Regions from separate parts of the Mus musculus genome. Here region 1 is reported to be linked to region 2. The links are microRNA targets in miRTarBase. Many come from high-throughput screens and were not tested one by one. Region 2 holds a microRNA gene; the other region holds the end of a gene's coding sequence.

The links. Region 2 holds the annotated microRNA mmu-miR-292a-5p (ACUCAAACUGGGGGCUCUUUUG, at 2,419-2,440, shown strand). A microRNA usually pairs through its seed, bases 2 to 8, with sites in the 3' UTR of a target mRNA and lowers its output. Matches are read on the target gene's strand: a 7mer-m8 pairs with bases 2 to 8, a 7mer-A1 pairs with bases 2 to 7 and ends in A, and an 8mer does both.
Region 1: the mRNA of Ctsa is a reported target of mmu-miR-292a-5p. Seed matches in the 3' UTR shown: 7mer-m8 at 2,291-2,297 and 7mer-A1 at 1,967-1,973.

What each region holds. Positions count from the first base shown.
Region 1 is chr2:164,838,730-164,842,729 of GRCm38, reverse strand. It overlaps Ctsa (cathepsin A), which reads right to left. Exons shown (of 15, transcript NM_008906.4): 13 at 4,000; 14 at 3,781-3,885; 15 at 1,698-3,579. The coding sequence ends at 3,496. Pltp (phospholipid transfer protein) reads left to right here. Exons shown (of 16, transcript NM_011125.2): 13 at 2,193-2,235; 14 at 2,346-2,409; 15 at 2,540-2,616; 16 at 2,902-3,212. The coding sequence ends at 3,024. Among named protein-coding and RNA genes, the nearest start is that of Ctsa, 7.0 kb to the right of the region's middle.
Region 2 is chr7:3,216,782-3,220,932 of GRCm38, forward strand. Mir292 (microRNA 292) reads left to right here and starts at 2,408; the gene lies at 2,408-2,489. It overlaps Mir290a (microRNA 290a), which reads left to right and starts at 1,845; the gene lies at 1,845-1,927. Mir290b (microRNA 290b) reads right to left here and starts at 1,914; the gene lies at 1,857-1,914. D7Ertd143e (DNA segment, Chr 7, ERATO Doi 143, expressed) reads left to right here and starts at 2,003. Exons shown (of 1, transcript NR_028425.1): 1 at 2,003-4,151. It also overlaps Mir291a, Mir292b, Mir291b, Mir293, Mir294 and Mir295, and 1 more gene.

The DNA.
Region 1 (4,000 bases), not on the chromosome of region 2:
ACCTATGTAGCAAGACACTGTTTCAAGCAAACACCATAACTCCAAAAAACAAAACAACCCCCCCAAACAAAACAAAACACCCCAAGGACTGAAGAGTTGATTTGAAGGAATTTGAGAATGAGTGTATGAGTCCTAAAACTCAGAGTAGAGGCAATGGCTTGTGACCCCAACAGTGGGGAAAGATAGAAGATCCCTGGGGCTAACTCCCCAGTCAGCTTAGCCAAACGCTGGAGCTTTGGGCCAATAAGAGATTCTGGCTCAAAACATGGTGGATGGTGTGACCATCCCCATCCTTCACATGCACATGTCCAAATCCACTCCTACACACGTGGACCTTCATGCAGACAGTCTCTCTCTCTCCCCACTCCCCAAGTGGCACATATATTTATGTGGCCCTGGGAATGGAACCCGGGCTCTGTACCTGCTCTTCATCTCCAGTCCAGCATTTCAGCTTTTCCCCTTTTCCTTGCTTATTGTTCTTCTGTTTTACTTTGTTTTTGTTGTTTTTCGAGACAGGGTTTCTCTATGTAGCCCTGGCTGTCCTGGAACTCACTCTAGACCAGGCTGGTCACAAACTCAGAAATCCACCTGCCTGTCTTCTGAGTGCTGGGATTAAAGGCATGCGCCACCACTGCCTGTTTTTGTTTTGAATGAGACAGGGTCTTAATATGTAGACCAGGCTAGCCTGGAACTCACAGAGACCCCCTGCGTCTGGAGATTAATGGCAGGATGTTGAGATTAAAGGTCTGTGCCACCTTGGCAGCTCTCAAATTTGTATGTGTGGGTATGTGTGTGTGCATGTAGGTGCAAAAGTAATGCCCTCTCCTGGAGTTCCAGGACGTCGTCAATTGTGTGTCATGGGTGCTGGTTCCCCCGAGAAGTATGAGCTCTTAGACACTGAACCATCCATCAACTTTCTCCTGTCCTCTTATTTGATAAGTGTGTGGTATGTGTGTGGAATGTGTGTATGCATGGTGTGTATGTGGTGTGGTGTGCGATGTGTGTGATGTATGCATGTGGTGTGTATGTGTGTGTGTGGTGTGGTGTGTAATATGTATATGTACGGGAGCCTGGAGAGATCAGAATGCTTCAGATACCCTGAAGCTGGAGTTATAAGCCATGTGAGCTGCCAGATGTGGGCACTGGGAACCGAATTCAGATCCGCTAGAAGAGCAGCAAGCCTCCTCCCCCCCCCCCCCTTTTTGTTTTGTTTTTCAAGACAGGATTTCTCTGTGTAGTCCTGACTGTCTTGGAACTTACTCTGTAGACCAGGCTGGCCTCGAACTCAGAAATCCGCCTGCCTCTGCCTCCCAAGTGCGTGTTCCACCACTGCCCAGCTAGCAGCAAGCCCTCTAAGCCATCTCTTCAGTATTGTGCCCCTCCTCAAACCCATTTTGAGACAAAAAAAAAAAAAAATCTCACTGGGGCTGTTTGCAAACTCAAAGAAAGCCACCTGCCTCTGCCTCCTGAGTGCTGGGATTAAAGAAATGGGCCAACACAGCTGGCAGGCTTTCCTTTTTGTAATTAACTCGTGTGTGTGAGCTTATGAACATATGCATTTATGTGTGAGGGCACTCACGTGTCACACAGTGCATTGATGGTCAAAGGTCAACCTGTCCAGTCTCCCCTCTACCATGTGTGCCCTAGGGATCAAACTCAAGCAGTCGGGCCCTTTACCCACCACACTGAGCCATTTTGCAGAGCCATTTTAATTCTTTTGAATAAGTTTGGTATCTGACAGAGAGTAAAGATTGTTGGAATTTCCTTAGATAAAACCATACTTATTTACCTAGCCGCAGAGCGTGGCACATAGGCATTCCTGACAAATGAAAAACAGCAGGCGCCGGGCAGTGGTGGCGCACGCCTTTAATTCCAGCACTCTGAGGCAGGCGGATTTCAGAGCTCCAGGCCAACCTGGTCTACAGAGTGAGTTCCAGGACAGCCAGGGCTACACAGAGAAGCCCTGTCTCAAAAAAAAAAAAAAAGACAAAAGAAAAAAAAAAAGAAAAGCAGTAGGCTTAAAGAAAGGGGGCTCCAGAGACCAAAGGCACTCAGGGATGCACACCTGGGAAATGGCAGCTACCTGAAGGATGATTGGATAGAACTGGGAAGGCTGTCACTTGCTGCCATCTTTTAGGTAGGGCCCAAGGAAAGGGTGTTCCCAGGTTTCACGGTGTATTTCTCTCCCACAGGTTTCAAATCTACTCAAATCAGTCTGCGCTGGAGTCTCTGGCGGTGAGTTGGGGATGGCAAAGGGTGGGTCCAGGCCTCGGGGCAAGTTGGCCGCTCACTCAAACCTGTATGCACTGTCTGTCGCCCCCCCCTGCCTTTTTTTTCCCCCTCAGCTGATCCCACTGCAGGCCCCACTGAAGACACTGCTGCAAATCGGAGTGATGCCTTTGCTGAACGGTAGGGACTGAGGGTGGGAGGATGGAGTGGGGACACGGACTAACAAAGGGGGGACGGCGGTGGATGGTGGACATGACGACACAGATGGACTGATGGACACCCAGGCTGAGCTTGCCTCTCTCATCCACAGAGCGTACCTGGCGTGGGGTGCAGATCCCCCTTCCTGAGGGTATCAACTTCGTGCGTGAGGTGGTGACCAACCACGCGGTAAGTACATTGTGGAAAGGAGGCCGTAGACCAGGGCATTCCTGTCCCTACAACACCCCAGTGCTTGTCTGTTTTCCCGAAACCCCTTTACACTAGTTGCTCCTTCACATATATATTATTTAAGTAGTAAAGATTTAACTTAGAAGCAGGGCCATGCTCCAGAGAACATACGCCACGCCGCAAAGCAGCTGGGGCCCCTGAGGGGATTTGCTCAAGAGTCTTGTGTTTGTTTGGAGGCTGTTTCCAAACAACTGAACCAGCCAGGCTCCCTGTCCCCTCCCGCAGGGCTTCGTCACTGTTGGGGCTGACCTCCACTTTGCCAAAGGGCTTCGAGAAGTGATTGACAAGAACCGTCCTGCAGACGTTGCGGCCTCCCATGTCCCCCCACCCTCTGCTGCAGCTGCCTGAGCCCATCACCCCACCTGGGTGGCTGGCATTCAGGAACCTAACTGAAGTCTTCTCTGCACCCCCTGCCAACCCCTTCCCATCTACAGTGTTAGTGGTCCCGGTGCCACAGAGAAGAGCCCAGTTGGAAGCTATACCCGATTTAATTCCAGAATTAGTCAACCATCAATTAGAATCCATCCACCCCCCTCCTTGGGTTTCTCTAGCTCTGTTGGGGTCCTGGGGTGGTCAGTTTTTATGCAGTCGGGGAGGTCAGGCCACCCCACGATGGCCGGAACAAAGTGCTCACTTGGTCCTAGGCTGTCTGTGACGCCCTGAGGCCCAGGCTGGGATGCACCAGGCTGTGAGAAGTCTGGGCAGTTTTAGTACAGGACTTGCCCCACGGGAGCATTAGCGGAGGACTCCTCTCTGCTGAGAGAGGCCGAGAGGGGCTGATCAGGTACTGAGGATTTCCATGGGTTGCAGCGGAAGCTATCAGTAAGGCTCTTTGTTCAGGAACCTCGAGAACATGGTAAAAGCAGCTCGAGGCTTGTCCGTGGGGACCATGTGTCCGGCACCCTGGGGAGCAAAGCTTTATGAGAGATCTGGATCCCCAACATGCATCACCCCTCACTTCCAGCCGCTTCCTTCTTCACCTCCTCACCCTGCAAGCTCGCCCAATGCATCAAGGGTGACCCAGAATCATCAGAGAGAGACGGGGAAGTCACACCACTCCCCCGCTCTGGCCCCGGCTGTCCCTCACTAGGCACAAAGTCCTACCTTGATGGTGAGGAAGGTGATGTGTGAACACTCCTTCACGAAACCAGCTACCTGTTCTCCGCTCTCCCCGTAGTCCACTAGCCAGGGCCGGCGCTGCACCTCCATCTGTCCCATCGGGAAAGACGATAGCCAGTGGCAACCCCCATCCTTGCTCAAAGCTGCTCTCCAGTTTTGCCCTCTCCTGGCACCCTAGCCAGCCCAGCTCCCTGGCAACTTTACC
Region 2 (4,151 bases):
AAAATGTTCCATTACACACACACACACACACACACACACACACACACACACACACAAGGTGTAGACTTAGGAGTCCTAAATTATTCTTGGCTATTTAATGAGCTTATGGCCAGCTTGGCGTACTTGAGCCTTGTCTCCAAAAAACAAACAAACAAACAAACAAACCCTAAACTCCAAGTCTGCAATATGCCTCTGTAGCTTTAGCCCTGCCGCCTGGAGACCTAATTTCAATCCATGGAGCTATTTAAAGATATTTAATAAATAATAATAACAACAACAATAATAATAACAAAAGAAAAACAGCCGGGCATGGTGGCACACGCCTTTAATCCCAGCATTTGGGAGGCAGAGGCAGGCGGATTTCTGAGTTCAAGGCCAGCCTGGTCTACAGAGTGAGTTCCAGGACAGCCAGGGCTACACAGAGAAACCCTGTCTTGAACCCCCTCCCCCCCAAAAAAAACATATTTAAGCATAGGAGAAAACTAACTCTATCATATTGTTCTTGGACCTTCATATTCAGTGTGGGAAAGAAAGAAAGAAAGAAAGAAAGAAAGAAAGAAAGAAAGAAAGAAAGAAAGAAAGAAAGAAAGAAAGAAAGAAAGAAAGAAAGAAAGGTAAAAAAGAGGGAGGATTTGAAACTCTGGATTTAAAAAAAATTCAAACGAAAGAATAAACTGAACCTCCCACATTCTTCCTTTATTTATTTTTATTATTATCTTAATACTGAATGTAGCCCTGCCTAGTCCCGTGCCTAGTCACCATAGTAGACCAAGCTGGCCTTGAACTAACAAAGATCCTCCAGCCTCGGCCTAGAAAACTATAGGATTAAAGGCGCTGCTTCTAGAAACAAACAAAGAAATCTGTTTCCTCTGGGGGGTGGGGGGGAGAAGAAACCAGTGAAGGTCACTCTGCCGCAGGGAAACTCAGCTCAGAGGAAGCAGGGTGGTAGAGTAAGGATTCTCCGGGGTGGGGGAGGGGTATCAGAGCCTCCCAGTCCAGGGGGCCAATGAGCCTTCAGACTATATAAGAACCTAGAGCCTCCCCCACGCCTCTCAGAGACTTCTACTCCACATCGGGAATGCTGGTCTCTGCGGTCTTCAGGGATACCTCCGGCGTGCTGCTTCTCACATAGGCAAAGGTAATATTTTTAGTTTCAGATTTTTTATTTCCTTCAGTTCTGTGGTTTTAATCTACCTGGTTTAGAGAGGCGAAAGTAGATCCAGGATTTCCAGAAGAGAGATCTTCCTGCTTCAACTTTGGAGATGACTAGCCAGGCTGGCCTTTAACTCTCATTTCTGCCTGCCTCTCTGCCTCCAGATTAAAGGTCATCACGGCCATCTTCATTCTACTTTTTAAAAACTAGAGCCCCTTTTTTAAAAGGCAGGCTAGCCGCGAACTCAGCCTTCCTCGCTCGCCCCCACGGTTTGGCTGGGTTTACTAATCCCGAGGCAGAGGCAGGCCCATCTGAGGTTGGTCTGGTCTCCAAAGAAGACATTTAGAACTAATGTGTGTGGAAAAAGAGTTGGGCTTTTTTTTCTGACTTGGTCTACATAATTTCAAGGGAGGAACGAGCCTATGTGGGGAAAGTGAGTAGTCTGGGCGCGAGTGAAGTTTGGGGACCAGAAACCAAAGCTAGGAGTTACTGAGGGCAGGTCTAGGGAGTCTATGCAGTACATTTCATTAACTACGTGGTTTCATTGTAGAAATTTTGAGTTTCACTATACCTTGAGTTAGACCGATGTACTAACTCTTCCTTGATTTCATCCAGGTTTCCTTCAGGTTGGAGTGAATTTTAAGTTCTCCACGTTCTTTCCTCCTGGTAAATGTTTTAACGTCTGGACCGCCTCATCTTGCGGTACTCAAACTATGGGGGCACTTTTTTTTTTCTTTAAAAAGTGCCGCCTAGTTTTAAGCCCCGCCGGTTGAGAAAACGGCTATCTGGCACATTTACCAGCCCTGGTGCCACGTGTTCCGGGTTAACTGCAGCGTGGTGAGTACGGATTCGAAGAAAGGAATGAGACTGAGTATAGCGAAAGGCTAGGGATGGGCATCCTGCCCAGTAGACGGTAACTGAGGTGGTCGTTGTAGGGTACCTGGGGGCTCCATGTGCGTCCTGTCGCTGCTTGGAGCTGTTACACCTATGTAGCGGCCATCAAAGTGGAGGCCCTCTCTTGAGCCTGAATGAGAAAGTGCTTCCACTTTGTGTGCCACTGCATGGGGAAAACATCATAGCTTTGCATCTGACGCATCGGTTTACAGGAGCGGACAACCTGTGTGGGGGTTTAGGCTTGGAGTTTAATGGGTCCTATCCTAAAGAGGGCGGTTCAGTTGGGTGCCACGAGACGCGGATGGATGTAAGGCAGTCGTGAGTCCAGGTGCATTGTAGATTGTTCTTAAGCTTGACCTCCAGCCTGTGATACTCAAACTGGGGGCTCTTTTGGATTTTCATCGGAAGAAAAGTGCCGCCAGGTTTTGAGTGTCACCGGTTGAGAACTCAAAACGGCTAAGAACTAAGAATTAAGTTTTAGTGGGTCATGTTTTCACTGGGGTTGCATTTCTGGGCAGGTGGGTGTCACATGTGGGTTTGAGTCCGAACACTTGGGCGCATGCGGTACTAAAGGCTTTCCGCGTTCATAAAGGAGCCGGGATCCCACATGGGCCTCGCTCGGAGGAGCTGAGCCTCAGGTCTTGGAAGTTGGAACATACAGTGTCGATCAAAGTGGAGGCCCTCTCCGCGGCTTGGCGGGAAAGTGCATCCATTTTGTTTGTCTCTGTGTGTACATGGCGTCTGAAAAGCCGGCTGCAGCTGCAACCTGGAATCGCTTACCTGCTTGAAACAGGTATGTGTGCTGGAGGTGAATTCGTTGCCACTGGCTACTCGAGCTGCAAGGCTGGAGGTGAGGAGGAAGCAGGGCAGGGTGGAAGGAGGCACTCCAGGTCCAGGGGTGGTGAGTCTAAGCCTCAGGTCTGAGTAAAGAAAGGCCTACTTTTAAATCTCACGTGGCCGCCATATTAAGTCCTCTTTCAATTTTTTTCCTTTTTCTCCAAACAGGGTTTCTCTGTAGCCCTGGCTGTCCTGGAGCTAACTCACTTGTAGACCAGCCTGGCCTCAGCTCCATCCACCTGGGATTAAAAGATCCTATATATCTTGCTTGACTACTGTAGTTGCTATATCTTGCTTGACTACTGTAGTTGGACTGATGGTTGTGAGTCTTGATATGGTTGGATTGAATTTTTAGGACCTGCTGGCTGTAGCTGACTTTAACCTGGCTCCTAGCACAAACAAGCTTGGTGGACAGCCGGGTAGATAATACCCATAATACCTTTTGGCTTTACAATAGCCCAGGCTCATGAGGGCTGGGATTACAGGTGTTACATTGTGTGCCCTAAGCATAATCTTCATGGATTCTCTTTGTTTTTCAGGTGTTCCAGTTGAGTTGAATGTAATCCTGCCTAGCCTGGGGTACTTACTTGCCTTCAACCTGCCTGGCTGGCTGGTCTGGCTAAGAACTGACTATAAAGTTTCAGGTTTATTACCACAGCAGGTCCCTGTGGAAATGCTTCAATCTGTGGTACTCAAACTGTGTGACATTTTGTTCTTTGTAAGAAGTGCCGCAGAGTTTGTAGTGTTGCCGATTGAGAAACTGCAGTTGGCCTAAGTGTTGCATCATTTGGGTGTCATCTGTGGGTATGATTCAGTCTGTAATGGGGCAAAAGTAAAAGCTGAGGTGCACGGAACCTCACGGGAAGTGACCCAGATTTGACAGGTACTGTATTACATATAGCTGCATTTATCCTTTTGGCATTGAATAATCCTTAATCTTCAGTTCAGTTGTAGGCATGTTTGGATCTAGCGAAATTCCATATAGCCATACTCAAAATGGAGGCCCTATCTAAGCTTTTAAGTGGAAAGTGCTTCCCTTTTGTGTGTTGCCATGTGGAGAAAGCATCGGAACTTCAATCAACCAGAGACTCCTTGCTTGCTCATCTTGGTGAGACTCAAATGTGGGGCACACTTCTGGACTGTACATAGAAAGTGCTACTACTTTTGAGTCTCTCCTGTGGGCACCATTCACAGGTCGGCTGCTTTCATGCATGTGTAGTGTGTATCTGAATCCAGATGAAGGTTTCCTGGAACTGGGACATGTGGG